Macaca fascicularis: one gene and its partners. The protein of the gene in region 1 interacts with the protein of each later gene in a biochemical or structural test. Links are inferred from orthologs where the notes say so. Each region holds a gene or a part of one and is shown in the gene's direction. Other genes may lie near its edges. The genes, in order: HTRA2, LATS1 and CSN2.

Region 1 (3,751 bases):
AAATGAAAAAAAATGACATGTGGGGTAGAGGATCGGGGTTAGGGGTAAGGCTCAGTATCCTCCATGGGGAACGCGAGTGGGACAGGGGGGCCTTCAGCTGGGCCCCAGGGAACCGCCCCGTGGCGCTCTCGGCCTCGCTCTCACTCACGGTGCTACAGGTGGTGAGCAAATTGACTATGTTGTGGTCGAAAGGTGTCACGTGGTTGGAAATGAGGACCCTGACACTGTGATCCCGGAGTCCGGAGTCCTCCTGCCGGGCCACGAGCCCCAGCACCGCACACATGGTCCGCACTACGAACCTGGGGACACAGGCGGTGGTGACTGTGTGGCCTCGGGCCAGGCCCAGCTTTGACACTCCCCAAACGCCCGCGTCAGAACCTGCGAAGGACGCTGTCTGGCAGCGCGCAGCTGACCAGGAAGACGTGAATCCCGAGAAAGAGGCGCAGGACGAGGAGGCAGAACCCGACCGGCGCGTAGAGCAGCAGCGCGAGCAGCAGGAAGCAGTCACCCGGGAGCCTGGGGGCGAGAGGCGAAGTGGTCGGGCGCCGAAGGCCGAGAGGACGCAGGGGTAGGTCTCTTCCCGCCGGGTCTCTTACCGGTGCGAGTCAAAGAGCCGCTCCGGCCCCGGCCCTGAGGGAAGCTCCATAACTGCTGCTTCAGGAGCGCCCAGCCGTCGCCGCCGCCATCTTCGCGCCCGGCCGCAGGGGCTCCTGGGAAGGCGGAGTCTTTGGGCATCCGCCCGGGGTGACAGGACCCGAAGTCTTGAGGCGCGCCGGAAGGGCTAGCGGTCCCAGCATACCCTGCGGCCCCTTGGGCCGTCTCACAACTCGCGTCCCACGGAGACCACAATTCCCGGCATTCGCGGGACGGGGAGGAGTCGGCCTCCCGGAATCCTGGTCCCGACGTGCACTTCTGGAGGACTTCAGGTACCGGCGTGCCCCGCGTCCTACTGTCCGCCTGCTCGCGTCCCGGGTGCCGCCTCTGAGTAGGGCGGGCGAGGAGGCAGCCGAGGCGGAGCTGATGGCTGCGCCGAGGGCGGGGCGGGGTGCAGGCTGGAGCCTTCGGGCATGGCGGGCTTTGGGGGGCATTCGCTGGGGGAGGAGACCCCGGTTGACCCCTGACCTCCGGGCCCTGCTGACGTCAGGAACTTCTGACCCCCGGGCCCGAGTGACTTATGGGACCCCCAGTCTCTGGGCCCGGTTGTGTGTTGGGGTCCCTGAACCCCGAGCATGTCTGACGTCTGGGACCCCGGGTCCCCGGGCACAACTGACTGCGGTGACCCCAGATACCAGGACCCGGGAGGCCTCAGAGAACTCTGGAACCCGTTCGCGCGCGTGGCTGGCTGTGGCACTGGGCGCTGGGGGGGCAGTGCTGTTGTTGTTGTGGGGCGGGGGTCGGGGTCCTCCGGCCGTCCTCGCCGCCGTCCCTGGCCCGCCGCCCGCTTCTCCCCGGAGTCAGTACAACTTCATCGCAGATGTGGTGGAGAAGACAGCACCTGCCGTGGTCTATATCGAGATCCTGGACCGGTAATGGGGGTAGACCGGGAGGCACTGAAGCCACGGGCCGGAGGGCGGGCAGGTAGGAGGGGTCAGGGCCTCCTCATATCCGTGCTTTCCCTCCATTCCAGGCACCCTTTCTTGGGCCGTGAAGTCCCTATCTCGAACGGCTCAGGATTCGTGGTGGCTGCCGATGGGCTCATTGTCACCAACGCCCATGTGGTGGCTGATCGGCGCAGAGTCCGTGTGAGACTGCTTAGCGGCGACACGTATGAGGCCGTGGTCACAGCTGTGGATCCCGTGGCAGACATCGCAACGCTGAGGATTCAGACTAAGGTGGGGGCTGGGGTAGGCCAGGTCTGGTTGGAGCTGCTTGTTTGCTCGCATCTCCAGATGACAGGTCTCTTATACCCATTCTCCCTTAGGAGCCTCTCCCCACGCTGCCTCTGGGACGCTCAGCTGATGTCCGGCAAGGGGAGTTTGTTGTTGCCATGGGAAGTCCCTTTGCACTGCAGAACACGATCACATCCGGCATTGTTAGCTCTGCTCAGCGTCCAGCCAGAGACCTGGGACTCCCCCAAACCAATGTGGAATACATTCAGACGGATGCAGCTATTGATGTGCGTCCTGATAGGAGAGAAATGACACATGATGGGGGAGTGGGGAGAGGCTGTGTGGTACAAGCACCAACTGATATATGGTGGATGAGCCTATATACAGAGCTTAGGCTGCAAAAATGTGGCCACTCATTCATGGGCTGAGAAAGAAGAGAATTTGGAGAAAGTACCTACATCCTGGTATGCCCCCAGACTTAGAATCCTCAGATCTCTTTCATGTTTTCTCCTTGTCCTGCAGTTTGGGAACTCTGGAGGTCCCCTGGTTAACCTGGTGAGTGAGACATCCTTCCTTCCAAGAATCCCAGCCCCAGGTCTGTGTGGGAAGGGTAGGTTTTCCCTAATTCAAGGATGTTTGGTCAAGTTTCTGAGCAGTTCTTTGTTGGCTATCTCTCAACATCCAACTGGATCTCCCCAACACTTGCTGCTACTTTTGTTCGGGTGCCCCCATCCCCTACTATTTGTTTGGGCTAGGGAACTGGGGGATGTATCCCTGCAGGATGGAGAGGTGATTGGAGTGAACACCATGAAGGTCACAGCTGGAATCTCCTTTGCCATCCCTTCTGATCGCCTTCGAGAGTTTCTGCATCGTGGGGAAAAGAAGAGTGAGCCTGGCTTATGGGGAAATACGGGAGGGGCATTCATTGGGACTTCCTGGAGGGTGGTCTATTGGGAGAAGAGGGCAGGGAAGGAAGGATGTAGCTGGGTGGGGCTTATTTGTCCCTCTGTCACAGATTCCTCCTCTGGAATCAGTGGGTCCCAGCGGCGCTACATTGGGGTGATGATGCTGACCCTGAGTCCCAGGTATGAGCTTTAGGGATAGTGACATGTAATGTGACCAGTGTAATCAGAGGTGGGCACCTCTATTGAGCTTTGTTCTCATTTCTGTCTTTATCTAAAATGAACTGTGTCACACTTGAAATAATCACAAGAGCTGTCTCCCTTCATCATCTTGACTTTCTTATTCCACTCCACTTTGTACACCTGTCAGACTGATTTCATCCTGTTACTGCTTTGATTTCAAGCCTTCAATCCATTAACTTGGCATTTAAGGGCATTTTCCATCTGTCTGTAAATCAACTTTCTAGACCTGGCTGTAATACCTTCCTATATGAATACTCAGCCAACCTGATTTCCTACTCCCATGTTTTTTATTTATGCTGTTCTTGTTTTATATGGTTAATATTGGACCCATCCTTTTAGGCTCAGCTTAAGTTTTTTCCCCTTAAAGCTTCTTTTAGTACTCTAGAATGACATTAGTGCTATTGATTTCATACTGTTTGTCATTTGGTGCCCTCATGTGGTGTACATCTTTTATGTACATGTTGCACTTTATTGCTAGAAGACAGAAAGTGAGTTGCCGTTGTATTTTGTAGTACCTAGCGCATGTCCTGTCCATCTATTTGCCAATGTGTTGATGAGAGACTTGAGGTGGAACTCAGGATGGGGAGAATGCCTGGGTTTGGCTAATAGGGTGATCTGTGTACTTTCAGCATCCTTGCTGAACTACAGCTTCGAGAACCAAGCTTTCCTGATGTTCAGCATGGTGTACTCATCCATAAAGTCATCCTGGGCTCCCCTGCACACCGGTGAGGGAGAGGCTGCAGTGTGATATGGGGATGGGTGAGGTGTGCATGTGTC
Region 2 (3,751 bases), on another chromosome or scaffold:
ACCAAATATTCTTGGAACATAATCTTTTTTTTTTTTTTTTTTTTTTTTTTTGAGACGGAGTCTCACTCTGTTGCCCAGGCTGGAGTGCAGTGGCGCAATTTCGGCTCACTGCAAACTCCACCTCCTGGGTTCACGCCATTCTCCTGCCTCAGCCTCCCAAGTAGTTGGGACTACAGGCGCCCGCCACCACGCCCGGCTAATTTTTTTATTTTTAGTAGAGACGGGGTTTCACCGTGTTAGCCAGGATGGTCTCGATCTGCTGACCTTGTGATCCACCCGCCTTGGCCTCCCAAAGTGCTGGGATTACAGGCGTGAGCCACCGCGCCCGGCCGGAACATATTTTACCAGGTTTTCACATTTGGATTTCTGGATACAGTAAGTAGCCAGTTACTACTTTAACGTCAGAAAAAGATGTCTTTAATTTTTTTATAGTCTGTAGTAGAAAACTTACGAAAGAAGGTACTTAAAAACGCCAGCTGTATATTTCCTAGAGGAAAAACTGGCAAGGGCGCTCTTCACAAAGGGTAGACGGTACTTTATACATCAAACCCAACGATCCGGTCTCACACTTTACATTCAGTTTAACCATAAGTAAAACCTCTTGTCACACCGTCACCGTTACTCCAATTATGGCAATAACGACCTCCTTCTACGGATGCGGTTGACAGATAAGATCTCTAAACTGCTGCTAATCAATCGGTCCTGGCTCAAGAATTTCTTATCTGCCTGATTCAGAAAATACAGATGGTGGAAGCTCACAGGCTTGTTCGGGGAAAGAACGCTAAGCAAGAATAAAATTTTATTTCAAAGCGCCAAAAATCTCGAATTCTGAGGTCCCACAGCAAGGTTTCCCAGAGCGACTCACAGTTGTTCCCTTGTGAGAACGTAGCTCCGTGAAATGCGCATCCCTACTCGGTCCAGAGAAATAGATCAATGGGAAAAAGGATTGAATCAACAGGAGAGAGCCTTAACCCACGGCCGCGGGTGAGTCGTCTGGGCAGGGGCAGGCGGGAGCAAAGTGGGGCGACGCTCACGAACGATCAGAGCGGCGGGCGACGCAACGAGGCCCGGAGGCCGCTGGCTGTGCGCTCCCTCGCAGCAGCCGGGCGGGCAGAAGCCCCCAGTCCTCGGCCCCCGCGCAAGCGACGCCGGGAAATGCCCACATCCGGGAAACCTGCAGCGGAGTGCGGCGGCGGCGACACTGAGTGGAAGGCAAAATGGCGGCGGCGGCAGTGTCCTGGTGTTAAGGGGAGAGCCAGGTCCTCGCGACCCCCGCGACGGGTCGCGCTGGCCCGCGGCAGCCGGCCCGCTCCTCTCCCCGCTCTGCCCCACCAGGGATACTTGGGGTTGCTGGGACGGGCTCCGGCCGCCTCGGCGTCCGCCCTCAGGCCCGTGGCTGCTGTCCAGGAGCTCTGCTCTCCCCTCCAGGTAGGTCCCGGGCCGGCGTAGCGGGTGCTCTCCTCCCTTGCTCGAGTTGGCGGGGCGGTGGCCGCCGGGGCCCACGCCCATCCCCGCTGGCGAGGGTCCAGAGGTTGCTGTGGACTGGCGGACAGAGCCGGCCCGCTCCGGGCCTGACTTGGCTGGTTGCATTGACCCGAGCTGAGCCCTGCCCTGGGGAAGCGAGGGTTGGCCGCGCCCGGTGCTGCAGGAAGAGCCCCAGGCTTTTCGGCCTCGAAGGTGCAGGTTTGGCTGGGTAGAGCCTGTCTTGCTGGCTGCCTTGCGCCGACGGTCTCCCACCCCACCCCCAACACGCTAGTCGGCGGTGTCCAGGAGGGAAGGAACGGGAAAGGTGGTTCTGAAGGAAAATTGCAGTAAAAGGGCTACAGTTCTTTGAATCCTAGAGGGCCGTGATCCTGGGTATACCTTGGAGAAATCCTTGGAGTCTCTTCTGTCTAGTTCAGTGTGATTTTAGGTTACTGTTCTTAGTTGAAAGTGGTGGGAAAGATGGAGAAGTCTTTATGGAGTAGCAGTGTGTATATAAATACAGCAAATGAAAGAACGACAATTAAGGGAACAGTGACTCTCAGATGACTTGATTTATCACTGTTCTGACTTCTCTGTCAATTTCTAAGGGAACAAAATTTAATGTTTGCCAACTCATATGTTAATACGACTTTTAAAACATGTCCTCCAGAAGTTATTCATAAATCTAGTGAACAATAAGTATAATCTCATGCACAGAAGTATATTGTATAACTCCAGTTTTGGAAATGGATTTGAATGTTAGCGATCATGAAACTTGTCAGACCTTTATGAATTATTTATTGAAGGTTAAAATTTTTTATCAAATTTCCTCCATGAGGAAGAAAAGCTAGGACATTATAATTGGAATGAATGTTCTCTGCTACGAAAACGAAGCTTATCTCTGACGGTAAAGTAGGGTAGTTGATTCCCTAAGGCAGTGGAGGAATTTGATTGAACAGTAAAAGAAGTAGCACTGTGTTAGTCCAGTTGGCTGCTACTGCAAGAAACTAGATCATGGTCCATGCTTGGAATGGTGCATTCTGTGCCTAAATATTGATTAAATATGTCTTGCTGCTCACCAAAAAATACTTCTACTACATTTTTAATGTATAATATCTGGCTTTCATTGTATGGGTCGTTTTTATTTTTGTTTTGTTTTTATTGCAAGTCCTTGTTGTTCTGTGTAAATAGTCTTTGGAACGGTTCTAACCCTGGTTGTTTAGTTATTTTAGATGTTTTATTTATATTAATGGGAGATTGTTATACATCACAAAAGTTAATTAGTCATTGAATAACATTTTCGCCAAGTAGAAACAGCAATCATTTTTCAGCATGAAGATACAGTGTTGCTTTCACTTTTGATCTGACAATTATTAGAAAGTGAACTGAAGAAAATATCAGTATGCAGTTTCCTTTAAAGATGGGAACTCGCTATCTTGCCTGTGCTGGATTCCAACTCCTGGGCTCCAGCAATCCTCCACCACAGCCTCTCAAGTAGCTGGGACTACAGGTGCACTACTGCACCCAGCCAGGGTACTTTTCTGATAAACTTAATTCAACCCAAGTTAACACTTTGAAATCTTATGTAATGGTACCATTTTTTTCCCCTAAGTTGGACAAACTAATCAGTGATACTTGTTTGTTGATGTTTGTATTTTTGATGAGGGTCTGAACTTTTTTTTAAAAAAAATGGCGATTTGTCATACCCAGGCAGTTTGATTCCAGAGCTCTTACTTTAACCATGAGGTTAAAAGTCATTGAAAGTTATGGAGTAGGTAGGTGACATGATCAGAATTGTTTATTAAGATGAATCTGGCCCCATTGTAGTGTGGGTTAAAAAGGTGAACAGTTTTGCTTTGAATAATTATTTTAAAAATTCTCTTTGCCTAGTAATAATTTGAATTTTCACATGACATAGCAGCAAAGATTATTGAGATTTAGTAATGCCAGTATTAACCATACCTTGTTGTGGGGATTATAAAATTAGTATAACTTTCTAGAAGGCAGTCTGACAATAAATATTAGAATTTTAAATAAGTATTCTCTTTGATCCAGCAATTCCACTTCTGGGAATTTATTTTAAGGAAAATGCTCAGCAATGTGTGCACAAGAATTTTTATTGCAGCAATTTTTTTTTTTGTTCACAATTTTTGTTATGTGCAAGGAATAGGCTATATATATTATATATATGTTCATTTTATTAAACTATGAAGCATAATAAAATGAACATCCATGAACTTACCACCTGTCCTCAGAACTAGAATATTACTAGTATAATTGAAGTTAT
Region 3 (3,751 bases), on another chromosome or scaffold:
TACTTAATCTTTTGGCATCTCTGTTTTCTCAACCTAAGTATGGAGAGGAGAGCTACCTCATGATGTTCTTGTGAAGATTATACAAGATAACGTCTTTGCTTAGTGCTTGGCAAAGGGTTAGAACTAAGTAAAAAATAACCATCATTAATATTATCATAATTATGCTTGACATGAAAAGAGATAATCAATATTAAAAGGTAAATAAAACTCTGTGATACTTTGCAAAATTTTTATTACAGATTTACTGAAGATTTTGCCTTTACTAGCCACCCAGATTCCTTCTTTGAGTTGTTTCATTACAGAGGAAAGTTTATTTATCTTGTGTATAAAATATTTGTTTTAACTAAATAATTTATATATTTTTTCCAAATCAAGTGGCCCTGGGAGAAAAACAGTTTGCCTCAAATAACAGTTTGCCATCACGGACTTGTTATCTTGTCAGTTTTTCATTTCAACATAAAGCACTGACAACTGCTCAGGTTCACATGAAACTGTGGCCTTTGTGAAGCCCTGTGTATCTCTAGCGTTCACACACAATTTTCCCACAACTGAAATCTCAAGGCCCCACTAAGCCCTAAAGAGATCTAATTATGTCCATAATAACTTGGGGACAGGGCCAGAGGGTCACTGTCCTCCAGTCATTGTCTGTTGTTATTGAACAGTTGCATTTCCTGGACAGGTTTCCTTTATCAACTTGTGAATTGTTCCCTTGTTACAATGATCCCCAGAATTTGTGGGGACATATAATAGGCAGAAATCATTTTCTAATCATGTGGACTTCTTGGAATTAAAGCTCACTGTTGATCTTATTTCAAACCACAAAATTAGCATGTCGTTAAATATTGTATATAAACAGCCACAGAAGCTGATAGACCATCATCTGTCCAGCACTACCTTCACTTCTCTTCAATCTTGGAAAAACGGTAAGAATTTTAGATACGGATTTGTTGTATCTTCTCCTAACCACGTATTTCAAAGTAGCTTGAGCTATAGAAAAAACATAGTTGCTTAAAATATAGTGTTTGAAATAAAAGTATTTAAGGTAGTACTGAAATTATTTTTAACACTTAGGCTAAAAAAGATAGAAGTGCCCAGAAGAATTTGGTAAAAAAATTGCAATGACGTATAGCCTTCACGAGTTTAAGAAAATGTAATAACTAATTTTATGCATATGTATATTTAGTATGAGGCTAGTTCATAGTTAATATTAAAAGGAGATTCATTTTTGAATTAATCTTCCAATTTGATTTAGCATATCACAGCCATAAAAAGAAATATACTTAGATTACAGTGTGGGTAGATAAATAATTACTGGAAAAGCTTTATCCAACAGGTAGTTTACAGCAGTAGCATACTGAGTCAAGAAATAGAGGGAATGGTTTGAGGGCATTTACTACTTTAAATATTTATAAACAATGTTTTCAGAAGAGTTTACTCATCAAACTTGTCTAGAGCCTCAAATTTCCCAGTTTATTATCTACTTTGTAACATTTCAGAACAATATTAAAATGAGACAGAAATACAGAATTAAGTTAAAAAGAAACAATGTGATTTACTTTGTAAGAAAATTCTTAATGGGGTAGAGAAGACTTGGAAACCATAAACAAAGATAATAGATGATATAAAAGAAAATAGCTCAGAGCGTACCAGTCGATAAAGAAACTCTGACTTAAAAATTAGTATATAGTATATTTATAGTATATAAATTAGTATAAAAATTAGTATAATTGGTATTAGTATATATTAGTATATTTGTATATAAAATTAGTATAGTAATTATATATTAGCATATAAAATTAGTATATATTAGTCGATTAGTAATAAAATTAGTAAAGTTTATAAGCAGATTACTTATAAAATATAGAAAATGCTGTGGGATCCTCCCTAAGTGCAATTATATACAAAATAGAGTGCTATATTCTTTTTCTGAACCCCGACATAAAAAATTTGGAAACTTATGGAGGTCTTAGGCAAAGCAAAATTAATAAAAAAATATTTAACATTCATAAAAAATCTAGAAAAAAATTTATTTTCCATAATAGAGAGAATTATGTTCAACTTTCAAATATTGAAAAGAACATTTTTCAAATAAATTAGAGACTTTTTTCATGAAGTATTTTTAGTTCAAAAATTGAGTTTCAAAATCTGAAAATGAAGATTTGAGTGTCAAGTAATATTGTGGCATAAACATTATTTTGGAATTAAAAAAATGTAAGAACACATAACAAGGAGATGATTTCGTATATTTTGGTCATAAATGTTAACATATATTTCACAAGAAGAGGTAGTCCCAAGCTGGACAGTGGGCAAGAGGTCCTGACTCCTTGGCAGATCATCAAGAGACCTTTGTGTACATTTTAATACAGAGAAGAGAAGAAGCCTAGTGTATAATCTCTAAAGTCATGGGGCATAAAGGAGAACAGATATTATTAGCTATGTGGGGAAGATGGATATAAACAGAGAAGAAACAAACTTTATAGTCCAACAATTCTCTGGATAGTGACACAAATAAGGAAAGTGTTAAAATGAAAATCTCAGTCTTATTGGAAATGAGGAGAAATAATTAAACTAAAATATTCATGGTAACCGTTTAGTGAAAATAAAAATATAAAAATAAAATGTGACTTTTTTGTACACATTTTCTTGATTAGTCTCTTCCAGTAGAACTGAGGCTCCATCAGGGAGTAATATCAGGACTGTAATATTTTGCTCATTGCTGCAGTCCTGGTCCCTAGACAGTGTCTGGCAAGAACAGATTCTAAGGAAATATTTTTATATTAATGAATAAATCTTTCCATATATATTTATAACTTCTTTATGCCTTTTGAAAAATCAATACTGCAAATGGGACGTTTTTAAAAGTGGGGATGAGTTGTTAGCTGAAATATCTGAATAGTTGGCAATGAAGTTTGGAATTTGATAAATGAGAATAGCAAGCCAGAATAGATTTTGACCTGAGTCATATGATATAACTTCTATTTAGTATTTATTCTATTTATTTTCTAAAATGTAGACATTTTTGTCATACATTATCTCTCTTTTTTATAAAAAGTAACCTTACCTAACTAAATAAGAAATATATCCAATTAACCAATCTATCACTATTCAATTTTTTCTCCATTCACAGGACTTAGTAGCCATGAAGGTCATCATTCTTGCCTGCCTGGTGGCTCTTGCTCTTGCAAGGGAGGTATGTGCACAAGAAAAAATTCATAAAAATCAAGAAATAGTGGACTATATGCCTATTTGTAGAGAATAACATCACCAACATTTTTTACTGTATAATAAAGAAGAATTTCATGAAAATTATCTTGACTTCTATCAAAATCATTTATATTTACCCACTGTCTCAACAGTTTCCTATAGTGCTCCAAATGCTTCCGACACCAATGTGCTGCTAGTCACTAAAGAAAAAGCAAACAAATCAATAAGTAATAAAAAATCATAAAAATGGCAACAAATACATGCATAAATAACTCCACAGATGCTCAACCTAGATAAACATATCTTATTCCAGTCATAAAATGTATATATATCTTATAGCCTAGGGCACTGGGTCCAAGTCTGTCTATACAAAGGCATCCATAGGATGAAGTACAGACACAATCATAATCCTAATCATACATTCATAATAATATAGTAAAAATATTTAATACAAATTAAAGTGACTCAACCATCAAAAACTGTCTTTAATAAATGTAAGATAAAAGTATATTAATAAAAATTACTAAATGTAAAAGACATTAAAGCA

What was found.
Region 2: the proteins of HTRA2 (region 1) and LATS1 form a complex in vitro, tested with the Homo sapiens proteins (2 studies listed by BioGRID, with this or other methods). The link is inferred for Macaca fascicularis from reciprocal best matches to the Homo sapiens genes HTRA2 and LATS1.
Region 3: of the proteins of HTRA2 (region 1) and CSN2, one has a biochemical effect on the other in vitro, tested with the Homo sapiens proteins (2 studies listed by BioGRID). The link is inferred for Macaca fascicularis from reciprocal best matches to the Homo sapiens genes HTRA2 and CSN2.

The regions. Positions count from the first base shown.
Region 1 is NC_088387.1:47,414,484-47,418,234, reverse strand, and holds the start of HTRA2 (serine protease HTRA2, mitochondrial), read left to right. Parts: upstream 1-977; 5' UTR 978-1,020; coding exon 1,021-1,526; intron 1,527-1,627; coding exon 1,628-1,832; intron 1,833-1,921; coding exon 1,922-2,116; intron 2,117-2,351; coding exon 2,352-2,384; intron 2,385-2,609; coding exon 2,610-2,715; intron 2,716-2,844; coding exon 2,845-2,914; intron 2,915-3,603; coding exon 3,604-3,699; intron 3,700-3,751. Other genes in the region: lipid droplet-regulating VLDL assembly factor AUP1, read right to left, coding at 1-299, 379-516, 597-646.
Region 2 is NC_088378.1:57,703,295-57,707,045, reverse strand, and holds the start of LATS1 (serine/threonine-protein kinase LATS1), read left to right. Parts: upstream 1-1,197; 5' UTR 1,198-1,428; intron 1,429-3,751. UniProt on the Homo sapiens protein: Negative regulator of YAP1 in the Hippo signaling pathway that plays a pivotal role in organ size control and tumor suppression by restricting proliferation and promoting apoptosis.
Region 3 is NC_088379.1:63,990,537-63,994,287, forward strand, and holds the start of CSN2 (beta-casein), read left to right. Parts: upstream 1-875; 5' UTR 876-923; intron 924-3,127; 5' UTR 3,128-3,139; coding exon 3,140-3,190; intron 3,191-3,751. UniProt on the Homo sapiens protein: Important role in determination of the surface properties of the casein micelles.